Arabidopsis thaliana: one gene and its partners. The protein of the gene in region 2 purifies or fractionates together with the protein of the main gene of each other region. This does not show direct contact. Each region holds a gene or a part of one and is shown on either strand. Other genes may lie near its edges.

Evidence for each region. Proteins that work in one complex are often made in the same cells at the same time.
Region 1: the proteins of AT3G58610 (region 2) and AT3G23940 fractionate together in Arabidopsis thaliana (co-fractionation; one large-scale study listed by BioGRID). This does not show direct contact.
Region 3: the proteins of AT3G58610 (region 2) and OASA1 fractionate together in Arabidopsis thaliana (co-fractionation; one large-scale study listed by BioGRID). This does not show direct contact.

The regions. Positions count from the first base shown.
Region 1 is NC_003074.8:8,645,659-8,653,579, reverse strand, and holds AT3G23940 (dehydratase family), read right to left. Parts: upstream 4,912-7,921; 5' UTR 4,801-4,911; coding exon 4,273-4,800; intron 4,175-4,272; coding exon 4,103-4,174; intron 4,003-4,102; coding exon 3,955-4,002; intron 3,782-3,954; coding exon 3,627-3,781; intron 3,458-3,626; coding exon 3,263-3,457; intron 3,186-3,262; coding exon 3,074-3,185; intron 2,990-3,073; coding exon 2,920-2,989; intron 2,834-2,919; coding exon 2,775-2,833; intron 2,667-2,774; coding exon 2,543-2,666; intron 2,449-2,542; coding exon 2,378-2,448; intron 2,299-2,377; coding exon 2,197-2,298; intron 1,986-2,196; coding exon 1,905-1,985; intron 1,563-1,904; coding exon 1,404-1,562; intron 1,308-1,403; coding exon 1,257-1,307; 3' UTR 975-1,256; downstream 1-974. Other genes in the region: AT3G23950 (F-box family protein), read left to right, coding at 1-672; AT3G23930 (troponin T, skeletal protein), read right to left, coding at 5,805-6,088, 6,162-6,552. UniProt on the Arabidopsis thaliana protein: Functions in the biosynthesis of branched-chain amino acids.
Region 2 is NC_003074.8:21,668,708-21,676,510, reverse strand, and holds AT3G58610 (ketol-acid reductoisomerase), read right to left. Parts: upstream 5,079-7,803; 5' UTR 4,951-5,078; coding exon 4,654-4,950; intron 4,531-4,653; coding exon 4,438-4,530; intron 4,169-4,437; coding exon 4,103-4,168; intron 3,997-4,102; coding exon 3,856-3,996; intron 3,762-3,855; coding exon 3,534-3,761; intron 3,430-3,533; coding exon 3,312-3,429; intron 3,233-3,311; coding exon 3,093-3,232; intron 3,000-3,092; coding exon 2,832-2,999; intron 2,744-2,831; coding exon 2,588-2,743; intron 2,241-2,587; coding exon 1,872-2,240; 3' UTR 1,780-1,871; exon of another isoform or gene 1,626-1,779; intron 1,558-1,625; 3' UTR 1,421-1,557; downstream 1-1,420. Other genes in the region: AT3G58600 (Adaptin ear-binding coat-associated protein 1 NECAP-1), read left to right, coding at 5,512-5,649, 6,326-6,357, 6,693-6,866, 6,954-6,985, 7,062-7,152, 7,246-7,357, 7,436-7,765.
Region 3 is NC_003075.7:8,516,986-8,523,638, forward strand, and holds OASA1 (O-acetylserine (thiol) lyase (OAS-TL)), read right to left. Parts: upstream 3,612-6,653; 5' UTR 3,347-3,611; exon of another isoform or gene 3,152-3,346; intron 3,082-3,151; exon of another isoform or gene 3,079-3,081; 5' UTR 3,066-3,078; coding exon 3,033-3,065; intron 2,946-3,032; coding exon 2,836-2,945; intron 2,749-2,835; coding exon 2,691-2,748; intron 2,611-2,690; coding exon 2,347-2,610; intron 2,256-2,346; coding exon 2,118-2,255; intron 2,021-2,117; coding exon 1,969-2,020; intron 1,840-1,968; coding exon 1,760-1,839; intron 1,653-1,759; coding exon 1,593-1,652; intron 1,506-1,592; coding exon 1,425-1,505; intron 1,317-1,424; coding exon 1,224-1,316; 3' UTR 975-1,223; downstream 1-974. Other genes in the region: OFP11 (ovate family protein 11), read left to right, coding at 1-94; SECE1 (secE/sec61-gamma protein transport protein), read left to right, coding at 263-796; FdC1 (2Fe-2S ferredoxin-like superfamily protein), read left to right, coding at 3,902-4,366; AT4G14900 (FRIGIDA-like protein), read right to left, coding at 4,774-5,289, 5,392-5,567, 5,716-6,622. UniProt on the Arabidopsis thaliana protein: Acts as a major cysteine synthase, probably involved in maintaining organic sulfur level.

The DNA.
Region 1 (7,921 bases), about 13 Mb from region 2:
GAAATTAAAAATGTGACTTGTCTTCATTCTGCCTATTGGTTTAGTCATCACAAGTCCATTGCTTTAAATGGGATTCTTCATTGGCTTTCCAACCTCACCGGTTCTTTTTTAGCTTACGATTTCTATGGAGGTCATCATGATGCGTGTAGTATCATTTATTTCCCCGATAATGGAAAAGATTACGAGTTACCGCGTTTTCGGAGAACAATCACTACCTCGGAAGGGTCTATTGTGTATTTCAACGAGTTTGGTGGGAACGCAAACCGCAAAGTACGGGTTTGGAGGCTGGTCAAGTACACTGATGGTCCTGAGGCGTGGCAGCTCTTTTGGGAAGCCAGCTTGGCGTCTGTGACCAAGCTAGGTATCGATTACTTCCCGGTGGTGATGCATCCTTTGAAGTCTGAGATCATCTACTTGTGGAGCAGAAACAAGAAAGGTATGGTCTTGTTTAACTTGAGGACGCATGTGTTTAGTCTTCACAAGGAATCCGAAGACGAGAGGAAGTGTATGGATGGTTGCACCTTGAGCTTTAACTGGTGCAACGAGTATATGGAGACCGTTCATAGATACTTTTCCCCATCGTTTCAAGGTGGTCCTAACCTTCTCCTCGCTTCACAGTATGTTCTCCCTCGTTGGTTGTCCCGTCTCCCTCGTCCACAGCCTTCTAATTAGTTTATATTGATTCTGTTTTAAGTTTGATATCAAATTTCAAATGTGAATGATTTTACAATTCTGTGAGATGTCATGCTCGAGCCTTTGAGACAAATACTTGCACCTTGATATAAATTGGTCGAATCAAATATTAATTACCATGCTCGAGTTTTACTATTCTTATGACCCTTATGTTGTCTCCTACAGAAACGAGAGAAAGACGATGAAAAGACTTGAAATCCAAGGAACCCAAGCCTTTAAGGTTAGTGGATTTCACATCTTTCTAAACCATGTAGAGAACGTCAAGCTTATTCACGCATAGCTGGTTTGCCACATTGGCTCTTAAGTTCAATCTCATAGACAAGTATTTATGCAAATCCGTCTTTATTCTGTCTTTATATTCTTTGGAATTCGGCCACAATCACAAGTTTTTATTTTGACATTTAAGAGAAACAAAATCTTAAAAACGAACCCTGCAAATAGCTAATGATCAGTCACAAAGTAACATGATCTAGAAGCTACAATAAATAAACTTACAAATTCCCTCATGAACGTACACTACATTCTGCTGCTCATTCACAAAACTCTCTCTTAGATCGTTCACTTTACTCGTCAGTCACACATCCATCTGAAGCCGATTGCACGTTCTTGATGTACTGTTTTTAGAATATCATAAACCATTCATTAGAAACTAATCCATCAGATGTCAAAGAGACATACATTATATAGATACAAGTGGATTCGTATAGTACCTTATATAGGACTCCGCGGTTAACCTTGTATGCAGGAGCAGTCCATTTCTTTCTACGGTCATTCATTTCTTCGGGTGAGACTTGTGTGTCTATTCTCTTCTTTCCTATGTCAATGGTGATTATGTCTCCGTTCTTGATCAGACCGATCGGACCACCCTCCTGCACAGATAAATAGTAAGCACACCGGAGAATTGCTTTCAGCATTATTATCTTCACATTCTCCAATCACATTAATATCAGTTTTATTATTTGAAATATTCCAAAATCATCATAACTGCATAAGAGCCACCACAAACTATTACAGGATCCCTTGACCCTTGTTCCTTTTTGCTAAAACTATATATGACTATGACCCAGTAGCATTTATTTTTCAATACACAAGAAAAATATCCCAGAAGAGGGACATGGATCTATCAAATTTATCTTGCAAGTGCAAAATTTAGAATTTTGCTCTGATGGAGCCAGTGGGCAGAGAGAAAAAAAAAAGGGAGAGAGAGAGACCTGAGCTTCAGGGCAAATGTGGCCAACAACAAAACCGTGTGACCCACCAGAGAACCTACCATCAGTCAGTAATGCACATTCCTGCATCACCCAATAGCAACATATTGGCACTTTATATAAGGTGTGTTCTCGGATATGGACAAAGTAGATAAAAAGATTTAGGTCACTACCATAAGCATAATATAGTCAGACCATATCAAAGGAAAAATAACGAGTTCTTTAATTTAGAACATAAAAATTGATCAGACTTAATAAATGTCTCACTAACCCAGTCATACTGGTCATATCATACCTTTCCAAGACCGGCACCCATTATTGCACTTGTCGGTGTCAACATCTCAGGCATACCTGGACCTCCTTTAGGCCCCTCTCCTCTGATAACAACCACAGTTCCCTGAAACACGATACATTTCATCAGATAAAAGATATATAACCAGCTCCTGAGATGAACTTCATATCAGAAAGGAAATTACCTTAAAACTCATTGGGTCTGCTGATATAGCAGCCAACATAGATTCCTCTCCTTCAAATACAAGTGCAGGACCTAAAATAAATAGTTCCATCATATAAGCCCTAATATTCAGAAGCATTAGCTAAATATGGAGTGTAAAGGAGGTACTAGAGTGAACCAACATTACCAGAGAAATATAAGCCCTCTTTGCCGGTAATTTTTGCTACAGAACCATCTGGTGCAAGGTCTCCTCTCAAAATTTGTATGTGTCCAGTCTCCTTGATTGGATTTGACAGAGGTCTAATTATCTCCTGGAACATTATCAGAATTAATTAGAATCCTGTATAACTAACAACCATCATAATCAAGAAGAAACAGGCGGTAGAATCTAATGAGATAACTAATAACATTACAAATACCTGCCCTTCTGTTAAGCTTGGGACGTTTTCTAAATTTTGAGCCAAAGTCTGCCCTGTCACTGGTAGAGATACAAAAGCGTAGTTATGCCATTTCACATCAATCCAAATTGCTAAGTCAGTTTATAAAATGTTTGAGCATTTCTACCTGTCATACAATCACCATCCATCAATCCTAGCTCTAATAAATAGCGGAGAACAGCTGGCGTACCACCTATCTGTAGATTAAACAACAAAACTTACAAACTGACCAATAAAAAAACAGATAAGTAATAAGCAAAACGATTTCGCCAAAGCCTTACCTTATGTATATCCTCCATAACATACTTCCCACTGGGTTTAAGATCTGCTAGAAATGGAACCGCATCGCTAACTTTCTGAAAATCGTCAAGAGTCAACTCCAAACCAACAGACCTGAAATCATTTCCATTCATTACTTCGGTCCATTGCTTTCCATGGTAATAATAAGAAACATCATAACAATCTGTCACCTTGCAATAGCAATTAGATGCAATACTGCATTTGTCGATCCCCCAAGGGCCATGACGGAAACCATTGCATTACGAAGTGATTTTGGAGTGATAATGTCACGGGGTTTTAAGTCCATCTTTAGCAATTCTAGAAGATATTTTCCTGCTAAGCGACACTCGTCCAACTTCAATGGGTCTTCAGCAGGTATTGAAGAACTTCAAAAAAAAAAGAAGAAGCAAATATATGAACTTTTGAAATAAGCATTCCACAATTACAGTTTAGGATCTACAATGTTCTTGTGGAAATAACTTTCTATTAAGCACAAATCTGGGAAAACGTTTGAAGTTGATTTATAAATGTGGTCTTCAGGACTGAAAGCCTCACCTGTAAGGAAGGGACATTCCCATTGCTTCGATAGCAGAAGCCATTGTATTCGCTGTGTACATGCCACCACAGGCTCCAGCTCCAGGACATGAATGATGGAGGACAGTCTTTCTCTGTTCATCACTTATGGAGCCACTAACAAATTCTCCATAACTCTGAAATACAAAATTGGAAAACATGATGAATCCCACAAGTACTGGTACAATTTGACACCAAAGTCACCAAGATTTCTGTAACTCAATCCCAAAATTGGAAAACTCAATGAAGTCTCATAAATACACATTAAAATTGTTATAACCAAGCTCGTAGCAGATAGAAGAAAAGATACCTGGAAAGCAGATACAATGTCATATGTCTTGTCTTGAAAATGGCCAGGCTGCAATAATATCAAAGCAAGGTGAATAGGCTATCCAACTAGGCACAAGGGTTTAGGGTTTAAGAAACTATCTTCTCATCAATTTGATAAAAGTAAGTACCTTAATGGTTCCACCATAAACCATAATCCCTGGTCTGTTAAGCCTTCCCATAGCCATAATAGTTCCAGGCATCTAAAAGTATTACAACAATAACATTATAGCAAACAAATCACATAAAACATGGAGATAAAGACAACACAAAGATCGATGATTAAAAAAAAAAAACTCACATTTTTATCACAACCGGGAATAGATATGTTACCATCATACCACTGAGCACTCATAACAGTCTCAATACTATCAGCAATCAAATCCCTAGATTGCAAACTAAAACACATCCCTCTCGTTCCCATCGAAATAGCATCACTCACACCAATAGTATTAAACCTAAACCCAACCATTCCTGCATTTTCAACTCCTTCTTTCACAGCCTCAGACAATTTCAGCAAATGCATGTTACAAGTGTTCCCTTCATACCAAACCGACGAGATACCAATCTGGGGTTTTAGCAAATCGTCGTCTGATAAACCAACACCGTGAAGAATTGCTTGAGACCCACCTTGGGATTTGGGTTCAGTGATTCTTGAGCTGTATTTGTTGAGCTTATTGGTGTCAGTGATAGGTGGTGAAGGATCAGCGGTTACGGATTGGGCGGAGCAGGAGATGATTGAGGGACGGCGAGAGTTGACATTGTGGGAAGGGAGGAGAGGTTTACAGGGGAAGAGAGTGGCGCGTGGAGAGAAGATGGTGGCTTGCATGACGGCGCGAGGAGGAAAGGGTTTAAAGAAGGGTTTTTTGGCGGCGCAGTGCGTGTGGAGGAGACACTTCAAAAGTGAAGACTTTGTGAGAGTGAGATAAAATGGTCAGGACTCTGAATTCAGATAGATACAGAAAAATAGGTTTTTTTGGTAATTTGTGAAAACGCTGTCGTTTAGCATAATTTGGGAAACAATTTGGTTTAACTCGCTGGTTTGGTATATGCGATTGCTTAAATAGTTATAATTAGGGGTGCAATAACCGGTTATTACAATTGTAGTGAAATAATTGGGTTAAAAATGGAATTGAAGACATAATAAATGGTTTTGGTTTCATATTTTTTTCATAATCAATATAGTAATAGAGATCAAACCAAGACAGAAAAAGAAGTAGAAATAAACCAATTAGAATTGTTTTTTTTTGTTAATGAAATATTGCTAAAATTAAATGCCGTAATCGAAGCAAAAATAAGAAATAAACCAACTAAAACTTCTTCTTTTTTACTACGGAAATTAAAGTAAATTTTGCTAAAAAGGATAAAACCCTAGCAGAAATCAAAATTGTACCAAACCGAACCACATGATATATTTCTTGTAGGATTCACTTCTTTATCTCATCTAACAAAAATTTGATAATTTTCAGTAACCGAACCGGAAGTTGGACATTCTTAATTAGAACTAGAAGTTTCTTGGGCTATAAAAAAGCAAGTGGTGTTTTAGACTTTTAGTGTCTAGTAAGTTTTTTTCCACAGTTTCTGTTCTTTGGAAAAATGGTTCATTATCATTATTGCTAAAGAATTGTATCTAACTCCAACAAAAAAAAAAAAAAACGATTTGTGCAAATCTTTCATGGGACATGTGCTTTTTGAACTCATAGTGCTATGATTTACTATATTTCCAAAATAAAAATTGTAAAATAACCAAAAGAGAAATAAATATGACATTGTGGATCAAGATTCTCTGACGAGATATGACTGTTTGCAGAAGACTATTTGAGTAAAAAGTGTTTATGTACATTCGACACATTTGGTCTTCAATATCAACAGATTCATTGATGCGAATGATCCTGTCTTCTTTTTCTTCTTGCTTCCAAGAATCCTTAGACTCTGTCTCAATAAGTCAATCTCTCTTTCTTTCTCATACTTTTGTCTATCCATCAAAACTATTTGCTCTTCAAGTGTCTCAACTGTCTCTTCTTTAACTCTAACTTCATCTCTCAATACTTCAACTCTCTTTGCTTCTGTTTCTTCTTCTTCTTGTTCCTCAAGTTTCCTTTGCATGATTGCTTCTCCTACAAACACACACTTTAAAGATCCTATTTACTTTTTCTAATTTTAAGTTGAAATAAGTTGAGTTTATTTTACCGGAGGAAGAAGTAGTGTGGGAGATGAGATGATCAAGCTCATTCTTGATAGCTAAATAGAGTTGTTTCCATTTCTCAACGGCTTCATCTCTCACTGCTCTCTCTACACACATCTCCTCAACCACCCACTTCCAATACTCTCTTTCCTCTGTTGTTGTTGTCTTTGCTTCTTCTCTTTCCTCTAGCTTCTTCCTTAGTCTTCTCACTTCCTCTCTCAGCTTCTTCCTCTCTTTTCTCCACTCTCTCTCCGCCTCTTTAAGCTGAAGAAACATCACTTTCTCTCTCTCATCTCTCTCTTTTATCAGGTGTCTTCTTCCTCTGCTTTGGTCTTTTGATGTCTCCTTCACACTTCTCACACCTCTCCTCTCTTGCTTGCTTGTGCATCCACCCATCTCTAATCCTTTTGGACACTTCTTCTTCTTCTTCTTATAACATGAAGAAGAATATGTTAATGAAGGAGAATCTCACTCTATCTCTCTGAAAGCTGTGTTCTTGTTTTATTTATGATGTAAAGAGCCTCTCTCCTACATTCAATGAAGAGAAGTCAAAATTGTATATGAAGAAGCTCCACTAGTACTACTACACTACCATTTATATATGGCCCTTTCTAAAAAGAGCATCTCAAAACAGTAACCTCTCTAGCTTTACTTTTTCACTCACTCACAAGTGTAAACACACTACAGTAAAAAAAGTGAAACTAAAAATTTGGTGGAATGGATGGAATAAATTAAGAGAGAAGTGATGGGAGATGTCAGAAGGGAAGGTGGAGAATTTTGTTAGAAGATAGGTTTAACCGTTTAAGGACATGGAAAACTACAACACTAGATTCTCATCCTTTACCACAATTAATGGTGTGGGCTTTCATTGTTTTTTTCACATGGTCCATCATCAACTATTTGGACCCATCCCTCTCTCTATACTCTATATAACTCTATACTAAGTATTTTGTTTTCCTATTACTATTTACTAATCAGTTTCTACAGTCACATGATTAAAAAAAAAAGAGATAATATGTGTGTAGATGTCACATTAGGAAATGAATATAGACATACCTGTTTTTGAGTGGCTCAAGGGTCAGATTAATCTTATAGAGGAAGAGACAAAAGTAAGACTGTTGTCTAATCAAAATCTTATTCATGTGAATAGTTTATGTTTTTAGGTTTTACAGCCACATAATCAAGATTGGACCCACGATTTTTGTTTGTGAGAATGAGAATTTAGTATATGTGTTTGGCTCAGCTGGTTTAAGCTGTGCCTTCACGTGAACTTCCCTATTAATCCGGCTCCTCTATCTGTCCTTAATTATTTGTTAAGTATATCTCATATTTTCCTTTTATTACAAGAATCCCTAATTATTACTTAGTGCTCTGTCTCCCTAATTTTAGTCGTTCTTTTGGTGAAAACATTGTTTAATAGCTTCTGAAATTAGGTTTACCTTAATTTACTTTAGTGGCAGGGTAAATGTCCGACTAGTTCTGGCCTCGTAAGACTAAATGTTTTTTAGCAGATAGTTTCATACAACCTCACCACATGCAAATAGCTCGACCCGAATACCAAACGTACAATCCAAATGACTCACACATAATGTTTGTATGTGGAACTATAGCAAATTTACCGTTAATACCGTTGCGTATGGCTTTTGGTAGCTATTTTACTGTCTAAGTTTTTACATTTTACACCCATCCAATGAATAAGAAACACGGTTTCGACCTAGCAAACTATACACACTGCAAAAGCACCTACCAAAGTATAACTTAGAAG
Region 2 (7,803 bases):
TTGAAGAGCTTTTCGAATATATAGTATGCACGATTTATGTGATGTTTATTTAACATCTCACATGCCAGTCTATATATTGGTTTTTAGAAGACTTAGTGCAAACTTATTTGATATATATATATATATATAGAGAGAGATAATAATGTACAGGCTAAACAGTGGCAGATAGTTAAGTAAATAATAAATGAATTTTGAGATTATTAAACAAAATCGGAAAGACCACTTGAGTACATCTCACGTTTGTTTTCTTCTAAATAATTTTCTGGATGAAAAAATTAAAATATATAGGTTTATTTATATATGATGATGATGATAATGATGAGTCATACTCTTACTCTATGGCTAAATCGAAATCATGGTTGAATTGGTATTAACAGAAATAATTACAAAGCATTGGTGTCAAATCAAGATCATATATGATTTCACACTAAACACCAAGATTTTGTCTTTTAACAAAAACCAAACACCGAGATTTTGTCTTATAACAAAATTAAAGTAAATAAATTGAAAGGGTATAGTCCCGTCATGGGATTCCACTAATTATTACTCATTAAAGTCTTTTCCCTTCCAGAAATAACTAATTTTTGATGTTTTTAAATACACTAGATGATAAATTATTTTGGGTTAATAAATTGGTAGAACAAAAAAAATATTCAATCAACTTGGTACAAATAAAATTGTCTATGTTTTAAATTTGGATGGTGACACAACAACATACTAATACAAACCATTACTGTACATATGTTCGTAAGGTCTAGGTGGAAATCAAGCAATAAACCTAATTCGAATATAGTATAGTCTTAGCAGTTTGTACTCGAGCTGTAATTTTGGTTAAACCAAAAACATGAATCCTTATCAATTGGACAGTAAGAATTCTTGAAGTTAAAAGAGAGATTTTAGTGTTTTCTTTTCTTTTTAGTTTTTAGGATAAATGAACATGAAATGTGGGAAAAGAGCAATACAGTATGATTGGCTACACATGTTGGTCTTGTCTTTCTCTAATTCTTGAGCCACACTATCATATGATTGCAGAATTTTTATTTATTAATTAATTCAGATTCTCTTGGTTCTCTGTTTCTTTTCCTTTTCTCAAGCATTGTGGATTTATCTCTCTCTCTTTTTTTCTTCTTTTTTTGATTTTACAAGGAAAGGGAAAAAGACTTGACATATAATGCAAAATGTGCAGAGGGAGAGGGAGAGCACATGTCATTACATGTGATTCTAATAATTTAGATTCTTCATTTCTCAGTAAAAAGAGAGACAAAAGCATTATGCTCTGCCAATTTTTTCTTCTTTATCTTTAGTTTTGAAAAGAAAGAAAACACACACACACACACACACACAAATGATTTTTCCTTGTAATAATAATATAATTGAAGTTGGAGAGTGACTACATATATTCAATCTATCTGGCATTTGTAAAAAACTTATCTCTTTATTCTATATTCAATCATTCAACATAGCAACATACTATTTTTGACCCAACAAAAGTAGCATTACACACTATTATATCCTAAAAGTATCCTAAATGTTGCAAGATTAACGCAGACATATAAACTTCATCAAATCCTAAACTCTCGATACTGGTTCCTTCTTTAACTCTCAAGCGTCTCTAATCCCAGTTCAGTTACTGAAATTGACAATACACAATTCTAGACAAAATTAAGTTGAAAGTTTGCAAATGTTGTTACGAAAATAGTTAAAGCGAAATTTCGTTAAACTATTTTATTGATTTAAGTAGATTTTAAGACCAAAGCAAAGAGACATAATCCTTCAAACAAAACAAACAGTCACGCCTAAGAAAACATCACAAACTCTCGACTTAATACTCCGATTACAAATAAGAGACTGACAAACTTTCAACCCTTCACTCAGTTGCTAGATTGACGCAACTCAGGTCGAACAAAGTCTGCATCAGCAGGCACAGAGATATCAACGGTAGGCCTGAGCTGTGCGCAGACCTCAATGGCACCATGGACTGGATCAGAGAAGAAGTTACTGATTAGGTCTCTGTTGATTGCTGCACCACTGTCCACAGCCACAAGAGCTTGTTGGGTCAGGATGTAGTCAAACCGTGGCGCCCATTTCCTCGAACCCAATCTTGCTGTGGTTGAGCAGTTGTCAACCATGAAGGACACTCCCCTGGCGTGCATAAATGGGTTTAGAGAGTCCACGGATTCAATCACACTCTCGTTGATGATTTCTGAGTAAGAGTGACCTTTCTTCCTCAAGATCTCAATCTACACAAATCCACATAGAAACCACGATGATTTAGATTCTAAGAAATCACTGAAAATTGATAGCATATTAAATTCTAGGGGTTGTCCAATGCGGCTAATTCGAACTAAAACCATACAAAAAAGAATTCAAAATTGAATACAAAACAGATCGATATCACAATTTCTCTGAAACAAAATGGAAGTAAGAAGAATCCAATTAGACTATACAAACCTATTGCAATGACAAAAATATTCCAATTAGAGGTATATTTTCTAAAATCTGAACGGAAATTGAAACCGACTCTACATTGCATAAACCGAAAAATCCAAAGCAAAGGTGGGCACACCAGATATAAACATAGACATACCTGAGCCATCATAAGTGCTACATAAACTCCAGCGGTGAAGGGATACAATGGACCCAAGTCACCAGCAGGTCTGGACTTCCTGACGCGTTCACCCACCTTCCACATTCTTGTCTGGTCAATATTTCCCATAGGGAATGCTGGCAAGCCTTCCTTTTCCTGTTATAAGTAAGAGAATCCATCAAAACTCCTGCACAAACTGTGTTTGGGTAATTGTAACAAAAGGAAGATTCGGAAGAGTCATTACATAGAAGCGACGACCGGCTAAGACAACACTTCGGATTTCGCTGCCACTTTGTACATCCTCGTAACATTCATAGAGAATCTCCATACAAGGATAGAAGGATGCGCTGTATGCAGTCTCAAAATCTTTTTTACCTTCTTCAGACAAGGAGTTGTACACAGCCAACATTCCCTGATGTTCACAATTCATTAGAAACAGGTTTTAAATTTTTATATTTGGCTAAAAACGAATTAGTCTGTTCTCTACAGATATCTTCCTACTAACCTGGGTAGAGATAGTCCTTGAAATTGTTCCTGTGATGCATTCTACTGTGTTCTTGTAAGCCAAGTCTTCACTCATCCCATTTTCGGTGTATCTTCTAAACAGAGACTCCACGATTCCGTGAACAGCACCAAGCAAAATTCCTTTTAACAAAAAAGAAGAAGATATGTAAGTATGGGATTGAGTGATATAAAGACAGGTCTAAAAGGGGATCAAACTCACCTCTTTCTCCAAAGATGTCACTCCTGTACTCCTGTTCAAGAGTAGTAGCAAAAGTAAACGGAGAACCAAGTGCTACTGACCATCCCAATGCAACATCGGCGGCTCTACCGTCAACATCCTGCCAACAGAATAGCAGAAATAGTGGTGAAAAAATGAACACATGAGGTATAAGAGCTTTTCAGTAAAGATAGCTTTTGCAGTAGAGATAAAGAGATAGAAAACCTGGTGGACTGCAAAACTGGCGTTGATTCCAGCACCGTTAATTTCTTTTCCTTGGACGTAAAGCCTCCTCACAGAAGGACCCATTCCCTTAGGGCATACAGCGACCACACTGATGTTCTTTGGGAAATCGAGTCCCGAGGACTGTAAATGCCCTAGTAGAAACCCGTGTGATAAACCAAGAATGCTGTTTGGCTTCATGTGAGAGAATATTTTCTCATAGTTATCAGCCTGCAAAAACAGGATAGAATAAAATCGATGTATACACCTTAGGACTAATACCTCAACAAGTAGTAGTGGAAATATATAACAAAAGTGCACTTACTTGAGCAGCATCAGAGATCAAAAGCAATACAAGATCACTGCCAGCGATAGTTTCCCATATATCACCCAAAGTACCACTTTCTTCAGTGAAGCCAGCAGCACGTGCCTCCTCAAATGAGCGAGACCCTTTTCTGAGACCAATCTACGTAATAGTATATTAAAACGAAAACAAAGTCAGAACAGAGCCTTCACGTAACAACAGAAAGCAAACAAATACAAGTATGAAGCCAACTCTGCAGTTGAAATACCTTGACAACAATGTCAGACTTTGCCTCCACAAGTGAATCCCTTAAATTCTGAGCCTGGGCAGGTCCCTGCATATATAGATAAAGCGTTTATTACAAGAGAAGAGATGCTGAATAAAAAGAATATGAAACAATATATTAATCTTGTTCATTCCACCAACTCAAATGCATCAAAAGTATGAAAATGAAAACACTTTATTCATATCCTTTTTCTGACCAATTTCGTATCACAACACAGAACCAAGATTCCTTATTCGCAATCCAACGTAAGCAATTTAAAAAGCAATCAAACAAGAAGCACAGTAGCTACAGATAAAGAGACCAAAAAAGGTAAGTACCTGAGATCCCCAGCCAATCACACCAATCTGCTTAATCCCCTTGAAAGCATCTGGGAGATGCTTGAACAAGTCTCTTCCTCCTCTCACAATGTACTAAAACAAAGATCAGCAGAAACCAAACATTAGCAACAACTAACAAAATCAATACACATCAAAATGATTATAGAATAAGCACAAATTAGAACAGAAATGAATAAGAGGGTAAATGAGATAAACCTCTTCGTAACCAGCAAGAGAAACTTTCTCCTTTTTGAAGACAGATGTCTCAAAATCGAGAGAAACAGGGGCTTTGACCGCAGACGAAGAAACCATGCGAGCGGCAAGGGAGGATCCAGTGGCGCCATTTCCAGCGACGGTGGCAGTAAGCGACCTCAGAGACTTGGAAGAAGACGAGAGGAAACCGATATTGGGTAGAGCCAAGGTTCTGGCTTTGGAAGACCAAAGGGTTTTGGATGAAGAAGAAGGAGATGGGCATGAAAGAGAAGGAGCGATGGATGAAGTAGCCGCCGCCATTTTCTAAGTTGTAGCAAATTGACTGCGCAAAGAGAAGAGAGCTCACAAATTAGGGTCGCAGAGTCAGTGTGAGAGAAGTTAATAAGCGCACACAGTTTACCTACTCATCACCACCAAGAGACAGATATGAGAAAAATAAAATAAAACAAATCCATGTATTTATAATGGGCCTAGGCCTATTAGTTTAAAAGGCCCATTAAAGTAAATGTGGACGTTCTTTCTATTGGTTGGTGTTGGTCCATCAACTGCTTCAATGTTGACTTCCCAGCGGTGGAGGATACATAGGTGTCTAGTCTATATCAGGGTTTCAAAGTCAACGTAATAGACGGTTCAGATTTAACAGAGGTAGCTTAGATCTGATGGTTTTGAAGTAGCTCAGATTGAAGTAATGGTATACACTACACACACCTAACGCGAAACCTCTACGTTTCTTCGTCTTCGCGACTCGTGAGATTGTTGTAATCACAGTTCGGGAAAGACTTAACATTTAAGATTTACGGGTTTGTTTGATCGATTAGTCTCATCTGGGTTTTTCTCCAAGTTAAATTCTTTGTTTCTGAGATGGATCAAGCTTCGTCTTCTTCGACTATGGAGGAAGACAAGAAGTCTTCCACTGATCCTGTGAATGTCGATGATAACGAGGAGAGAGAAGCTATAGAGATTGCTCTGTTCCAAGTGCCTGAATGCTATGTTTATTTGGTAACTTTTCTTGGCTTATCATGAGATGTGATTTTATAATTTTTGATGAGTTTTGTGTCTTTTATGCTCAAGTTACATCCTTTCTTTGCAAGTTCACTTGGTGATTTTAGGAGATGTTTTGGATCTGATAATTAGTTATAACGTAAATTCAATCTGGTGTTATAGATTTCTTGCAATGGTATTGAGGAAGTTGTCTTAATTTGCATATGTTGAAAACTTGACGTTGAGTCTTGATCACTCGAAATTTTGTTTGGATTTGCAATGGTGATCGATTGCACATGTAACTATCAGCGAAAAATCTTTTCAAGGAGATTTCGTATGATAGATTCAAGGCTTGTGATAAAAGAGTACATTAATTTTAACCAATATCATGCTAAGTGATATCTTGATGGGGTCTCTCTGAAATCATACTAGCTTTTGAGATACTCGTGAAATTGTTACATGGTCATTGTGTTATAGGATGTATGAGATTCCAAATTGGCTACCTTGATGAAATCATAGACATTGTGAACTGTTGTTATTTAGGTTTAACTATAAAATTCTCATTCGTAATGGACAACATTGGAGCTTGATGTATCAATGTTATTTTATCGTTTATGCTTTCTTCTGTGTCTGTTACTTTACGGGGATGCTAGGCAAAGTAACCTCTTCATTGTCTTTTTGTTTGTGTATGCAGATACCTCCAAGGAAAACCGCAGCTTCGTACAGGTTCTTTCTTACCTTTATGATAGAAACAGTCATTCTGATATATGTAGTTAGGAGATTTTTACAAAACCCCTTTTCCCGATAAACCCTTCGGCTTAGCAAATGATCAGAAACTCGGAACGAATCTTATTGAACCAATCGTGAAGTATGTATGACTATGAATGGTAGCTTAACCTTAATTTGCATCAAGATGGTCATTATCTAGTTACATTCGCTTTGTATCAACTCAACTTGGCTTCTTTGGTAAAAGATACTTGAAAAAGTGCATCAAGTAATCCATTGGAAGATGGAGATAGACATCAGCTGATACTTTTTTTGTATAAATTTTATCCTTGCAGAGCAGATGAGTGGGACGTGAACAAATGGGCATGGGAAGGAGCTTTGAAAGTGGTGAGCAAAGGAGAAGAATGCATTATAAAACTAGTAGATAAAACCACAGGGGAACTTTACGCTCAGGCATTTCTAAGAGAGGGGGAACTTCATCCTGTAGAAGCAGTAATCGACAGTAGCAGGTAACAAAAAGTTGACCACATAACTTAACTTGCTCTTCTCATGATGTGCAGCTAGTCTAACAAAAAATAATCTGTTTTGTCTTGAAGATATTTTGTTCTCCGTGTTGAAGAAAAGATAGGTACGTACTTTCCATATAGATATAGAGATGTTAACTTGTAGTTGTTATTTGAGTTTAGTTCTTTGATGCAATGCAGATGGTCGTGTTCGACATGCTTTTATCGGACTCGGATTCCGGGAAAGAACAGAAGCATATGATTTCCAAGCAGCACTACATGACCATATGAAGTAACATTCCACTTCCAGATTTCTAAGTGTTCTTTCGAAAAACTAAATCATGTTTGAATCTGACCACCCTCTCTTTCTCTCTCTTTGCTAAAGGTATTTGAACAAGAAGAAAACAGCAGAAGAAATGGAACAACACTATCAGAACACTTCATCCGTTGATTACAGCTTAAAGGAAGGAGAAACCATTGTTCTCCAACTCAAAAATGTAAGATTTACAGTTATTGTCTGGATACATTTCCCACAAGGTTTCTTTTTGTTTTTCACATCAAAATGATTGAAACAGAGAAGCGATAAAGACAGCAAGTCAAAAACGGTAGAGAAGAGTCTGGGCAATCTCTCGTTGGAGGATAAAGGCAAGTCAATAGAAACCACCATTCCTTCAATCATCCTGCCACCTCCACCTCCGGGACCGCTTTCCCCTGTCACAACTGCTCAGAAGTCCCCGTCAAGTCTGCCGCCAAGCCTCAGCCTCCAAAGATCGTCTGAACAACAAGATTTAGATACAAAGCGAGAAGAAGAAGAAGAAGAGAAGAAAGAAGACCTAAAAGCCAAAGATGGAGGGGTTGAAGATGCACCAGATGATGACTTTGGAGATTTCCAAGCTGCGGGTTGATTTAAACTTATAATCTTTTTTACCATACACAAAGATCG
Region 3 (6,653 bases), on a different chromosome or scaffold from region 2:
GAAACATACTCACAGATTCATCGTCTCTGCTTTCGCCGATACGCTCCTCTGGTTACTTTCTCCGTCGCCGTCGCCAGAGCATTTTTTATCCTAAATTTAAATTTTTTCAAATAAATATTTGGGCTTTATAAGGCCCATAATAATTGTAGCAACTCTTACTATACTCATTGCTGTATCTGATCATTTACTTCAGTCTTCAGATATCTGAATTATCCACAAATCTAAAATTGAGAAAACTTAAAAAAGTTCCCAATTTCGAAAAATGTCACTAACCGCACAATTCTCGCCGCCGGTCACCGGAATAACCAGGAGTCTCCGGGATACAAAACCGTCACTGTCTAATCTCCGTGTATTTCCGGTTTACACTGAGATAAGAACTATGACGACGAGTAATCTGAGGAAATCGGCGTGTTTTGTGGCTAAGGCTATAGAACAGAGACGAGATACAGCTGGATCTGAATCGGAATCAGAAGCGACTCCGTCACCGGCGGAAGAGAGTGGAAGCGGAGAAGATAAGGAAGTGGAGATTAGCGCGATAGGAGCAGAGATAAAAGCAGCGATGGAGCAGAGGAAAACGGCGGAGGAAGAGAAAGGGAAGAACGAGTTTCTTAGTGGAGTTGCGGAGGAAGTGAAGGAGATTGAGTGGCCGGCGTTTCAGAAAGTTCTCGGAACTACCGGCGTCGTGCTCGGTGTTATCGCTGGCTCTAGCGTCGTCTTGCTCACTGTCAATTTCCTTTTGGCTGAACTCTCTGATCGAGTGTTCATCGGAAGAGGTGTTCAAGACTTCTTCAGCTGATCCTGTGAATTGAAAATGGTAAAATTTGTGTGTACAATTTTTAGTGATTGCAATGAGAAATCGAAACATTGTTGATTTGTGTAGATGATGATAAAGAGAATTATCGGAATCACTCCTTTTGAGCATTACCTTCTTCTTATCCTAATCTTATATTTAGCCTGAAATATTGACTTGGGTTATGTTGGTTTAGTTTTGATCATGAAACAGTATGATACTTATGAACAAAGTTACATAGCAAATTTAAACTTCATTAACAAGCAAGTGGTTCACAAAAGAAACAGAGAAAATCTAGTTTGACTTTTATTGGCACACAAGAGAAGATACAGATGGAAGCAAAGACGCAATGTAACTAAAGATGAAGAGTCTCTATAGGAGAAACTGAACATCTCTTTTATTTTGGCGTCTCTTAAGAAGAAATGGAGAATGTTCAAGCCTCGAAGGTCATGGCTTCCGCTTCTTTCCTTGTCGCATCGAAAAGTACCGTTGATAGATACCTCTCCCCGAAACTCGGGAATATCGCCTGTAAAATAATTCAGTTGATTTCGTTTACATCAGAATCAGAAAGAAATCCGGGTTATGTAATCAGAGCTTATTGGCTTTGGGGTGATGATAGAATCAAAGAGCTTACCACAAATAGCTTCCCAGCGTTTTCTGGCCTCTGTGCAAGTTTAATTGCTGCAGCAGCTGCTGCACCGGATGATATTCCCACCTACAGTATAGCTTTTGTTTTTAGAAACAGAACGAAGTTGTAATTCTGATGGAGATAGCTTTTTGTTGTGAAATGTGAAACACTTACAAGAAGACCTTCTTTAAGAGCAAGCTGCCTTGCCATGTCAATGGATTCATCACTTGAAACCTGTTGAAAGCGTTACAGGAAAATGGAGAGAGTCAAGTAAGAAATGAAGCTCTCTTGCATTCAATTGTGTTTTGCTATCAGTCGATAATATCGAAAAGCAGTCTTACCTGAACAACTTCGTCAATAAGATCAACATTCAATACACTTGGTATAAAACCAGCTCCTATCCCTTGAATCTTGTGAGGACCTTGATATTTTCAGCAAACATCATGTGTTAGGAAACTCCGAGGATAAAAAATAAGACATGAGGCAAACCGAGAAACGAGGAACATGCATGCATGGTTATCGTAATAAACGCAGGGGGAACCAAAATCACCTGGCTTCCCACCGGATAGAATAGCACTTTCAACTGGCTCCACTCCATACAGCTAACAGAAGAGGAAACAAAATGAGAAACCGTGCAAAGACACACCACTTAGTCACTTAGATAACAAAGCCAGTTGTTCGAAAAGATGGAGCTCTCACCTTGACGTTTGCGTTCTGTTCTTTAAGATACTTCCCAGCACCTGTAATGGTACCACCAGTACCAATCCCAGAAACAAAGCCATCGATTTTGCCACCAGTGCCTTTCCATATCTCAGGTCCCGTAGTCTCATAGTGGATCTGCATTTGACAGTGAAATTCCATCGACTTAATATGGTTCAAAAACAGACAAAAACAGATACACTAAAGCAATAGTAAATAATAAGCATACCTTAGGGTTGGCAGGGTTCTCAAACTGCTGAAGCATGTAACCATTGGGTGTTTTCGCCAAAATCTCTTCCGCCTTTGCGATAGCTCCTTTCATGCCCTTAGCTGGGTCAGTTAAAACCAACTCAACTCCAAAAGCTAAGAGAATGATTCTTCTCTCAGTACTCATAGAAGCTGGCATTGTAATAATAAGCTTGTAGCCTTTGGCAGCTGCCGTGAATGCTAACCCAACTCCAGTGTTTCCACTTGTTGGCTCAATCAGCACACTCTAAAGAACAAACAAAAAGTCAGAAACAATGAAAACAAAAACAAAATAGTGGTTTGAAGATTCAGATAATCGAAACTGACCTCTCCTGGTTTGATAAGACCCTTCTTTTCTGCATCAGAAATCATGCTAAAACCAATCCTGCAGAAATAAACAAAGTACAAGGTCTTCACAAAACCGAAACTCGAAGCGAGAAACAACACATAGTTTCTGGACTAGAGAAGAAACCTGTCTTTGACGCTAGAGCACGGTTCCATCATCTCAAGCTTAGCAGCAACACGACCAACACATCCTTCAGCAACATTGTTCAAATACACCAATGGAGTGTTCCCAATCAACTGCCAAATAGAATCAATCAATACATGAACATGGAACAAAGCTCACTCCTTCGTGAAATGAACAGTGAAAGAACTTGAAAGCCTTACTTCAGTCACATCTTTAGCAATTCTCGAGGCCATGATTCAAGCTTCACTGCTTAAATTCACAAAAAGAGAAAAGTAAGACCAAAGGAATAAATCATCCTCAAACCAAAAACACATCATACAAAATCATCAAACATAAATCTCCAGATGTATGAGCACCAATCCAGTTATACAACACTCTTAACACCAAATCAACAGATTTAACAGCGAAATAAGCTTAAGCCCATACAATTATCCGATCCAAACAAATATAATCGAAACCGGCAGAGGAATAAGCAAGTGAATCAAAAAGTATGGGACGAGGAAGAAGATGATACCTGAATGAGAAAGTCAATAACCTTGACCCGAATCGTTTTGAAGAAAATGGAGAAAATCGGTTGTATGGAATAAAATCTTCGAATGATGAGATATATGATCTCTTTGGTGTCAGTCACATGGCACACGCTATCAATTTAGAAAAACGCGGTGGTTGGTCACCAGAATTACTACTTCTCGGTCTGATTTGGTCATATCCGTATTAAGTCCGGTTAATATTTTCCATAACTGGGGTTTGAACATTCGGTTTCTTTTTTTCAGTTAGTCCGATTTGGAGTTTTGAGTATGGAAAAATAATACTGAATTTATTTGTTCAAACTGTTTTGGAAAAAATATTTCCCTTAATTACGAATATAATTAAAATTTTAAAATTCATTTTATTAGATCTTGGTTAATTCGGTTTAATGCATTAATGAATTTCGGTTTAAGTCGGTTTTCGGTTTTTATGTCCCACCACTATCTACAACCGATGATCAACCTTATCTCCGTATTCACCACAAACAGTCATCACTCTCACTTGACACAAAAACTCTTTTGTCTCCGTCTCTCTGTCTCTCATGGCGACTCTTCCTCTCCCGACTCAAACTTCTACAATCTCTCTCCCTAAACCTTATCTCTCCAATTCCTTCTCCTTCCCACTCCGTAACGCAACACTCTCAACAACAACAAACCGCCGGAACTTTCTCACCACCGGAAGGATCATAGCTCGGGCATATAAAGTGGTGGTAGAGCACGACGGAAAGACGACTGAATTGGAAGTCGAACCAGACGAGACGATTCTATCTAAGGCTCTTGACTCTGGCCTTGACGTTCCCTACGACTGCAATCTCGGTGTTTGTATGACTTGTCCAGCGAAACTCGTGACCGGAACGGTGGATCAAAGTGGTGGGATGCTAAGTGATGATGTGGTTGAACGTGGCTACACGCTTCTATGTGCTTCGTATCCAACTTCTGATTGTCACATTAAGATGATCCCTGAGGAAGAACTCTTGTCTCTCCAGCTCGCCACTGCCAACGACTAATCATCTTCTTGATTTAGACTAAAGAAGTCTTTTTTTTGGTGTAATACGAACACTTTGTAACGAATCTTGCTATGAGACTTCGAAATCTTGATTTCAATGAGCCAATACAAACAGTGATACATAACATAATCACAGTGAAACATTCCTGGTTTAAGATGAATCTATTAAGTACTGAACTAAATTCGTTGATTGAAACATTAGGAAAGTGAATAGATATGTATAATTTAGATTAATAAACACACAAGGGTAGACTAATTCAGAACCAGAAAGAGTGAGAGTGTTAGCTACAAATGATACGATATAAAAAAAGAGAGATTACAACAAAAACGAGGTAGAGACAAAACGTAGACACCAGAGATCAGTGGTTGGTTACTTACCATCTTCTTTTTTCCTTTGTCATTGTCTAATCAGTAGTAAGCATGCTGAATATGGTGGTGGTGGTGCGGGTGAGGATGGTAAACTGGAGGGGGTGGAGCAGCCACCGGACTGCAGTAGGTACCATATGCTGTCGGATAACTGACCGGAGAGGTTTGGTAAGAACCATGAACCGCCTCGGGTGAGTATTGGTATGGAGGGCTCCTGTTGCTGTAGATGGTAGGTGGGGATGTGGTGTATGCTGGTACACCGTATTGAGGTGAGTGACTTTGGGATCTGATGAATGTTGGTGGAGGCGGTGGGAAAGAGGAGACGTAAGCGTTTGTGATACGCCCTGCTTTGGCTGGTGGCATTGGACCGCTGTAGCTTGCTCGGGTTCTCTTGTTGGCGGGAATCACGGCTGGTTTTCTCTTCTCGGTTTTGGTCTTCTCTAGCTGATCCAACCTCTTCTTGAGATTCTCGGGTGGGAATTCTTCCTCGAGTTTGTATTCTTCTATGCATTTTAAGACTGCTCTAAGTGCTGATTGCTCTTTGCGCGCCACAAGATGCTAGAAAAATACACACATACATTGGTAAGCGAGTGCAGAAGAAACAGATCCCTGCAAATGGATCCAGCAAAGAAAACGAGTAACACAAATGGAGGAAAGTACCGCAGATCGGCCAGAATTGTTGGAATCATCAGTGATTAAAGCTGTAGCTTTCTTTGCATCCCTCAGATAAGCTTTGAGCAAAGGAACAGGAGGGAACAAGTGTACAAGACCAACTTCAAAAGTGAAATGAACCGCATCAAGCTGTTGTCCCCTGATTATCAACTCTTCAATCATATCTGTGTGAAGCCATAACAACCCAAAAACCATCATTTTCCATTTCAGATACTACTCACAGATTCCCATGACAAAAGACAACAACTTGTGCTTCCCCAATATATAGCTAAAAACATCTAATGGTAATCAAAGGTAAAGAAGAAAGATTACCAGGCATTTGGTCGCCCAAACCAACTGAAACAGCAAGCTTTGGCATCTGTTTACGCCAAGCTGAACCAACCACAAGTTTCCTATAAAGAGCTAGATCATCCTTCTTCACAATCCCAAAAGTCACAAGATGTTGCAGAAACGTATGAACATCAGGTGTTTTCACATTCTCAATCCCTCCTCTCTCTTCCAAGCTAGCCTTCCACGTCTCAGCAATCTCTTTAGCTTTCTCCTTAACGCTAGGAGTTACAAGTAGCCGAGACTTCCCCATCACTGGATCAACCATAACTGGAATCAAACTCTCCAGAATCACAACACAAGCCCATCCAAAATCATTGCTCACTTTCTCTCCACCACCTCTTTTATCCACCGGAAAAACCTCAGATACAGCTTCAAGTACTAACTTCGGCGGATCCACACAATCTACCAACGCCACAGGAATCTGTGACCGGAGATTCTCCAATTCCTTCTTCCTCGCAATCACAAACCCCCAAAATCCTCTTGCGTCCATCTTCAAACAAAGCGACTTCAGCGCCGATAAAAGCCCGTCGCCGTCGTCGACTTCTCCGGTATCTTCATCACCACAGTCTCTAGCTTTCTCCAGCGAATCCAACGCCGCTCTAACGCGTTCCTCAACTTTCCCCTCCGCGATCTCGACGCTGTGGTCTATAGTCACCTCACGATGCTTGAGTAACTCAATCGAGCTCTGCGTTTGATTATCTAGGGTTTCAATCATCTGTCTCAGAGCTTCAGATTTCTTCATCAGGTTTTGCTCCATGGAAGTGAAATGCTCAGAGAGCTCTTTCCATAGAAGATTGCAGCTCGTCATTAGAGACGCCTGCTTCTGAAACTCAAAGAAACTCGGCTGAGACGACTTAATCAACTCTCCTGGATCGGGAGAAGACTCCATCTCCGGTTAATCGTACGGTGAAGAAACTCAA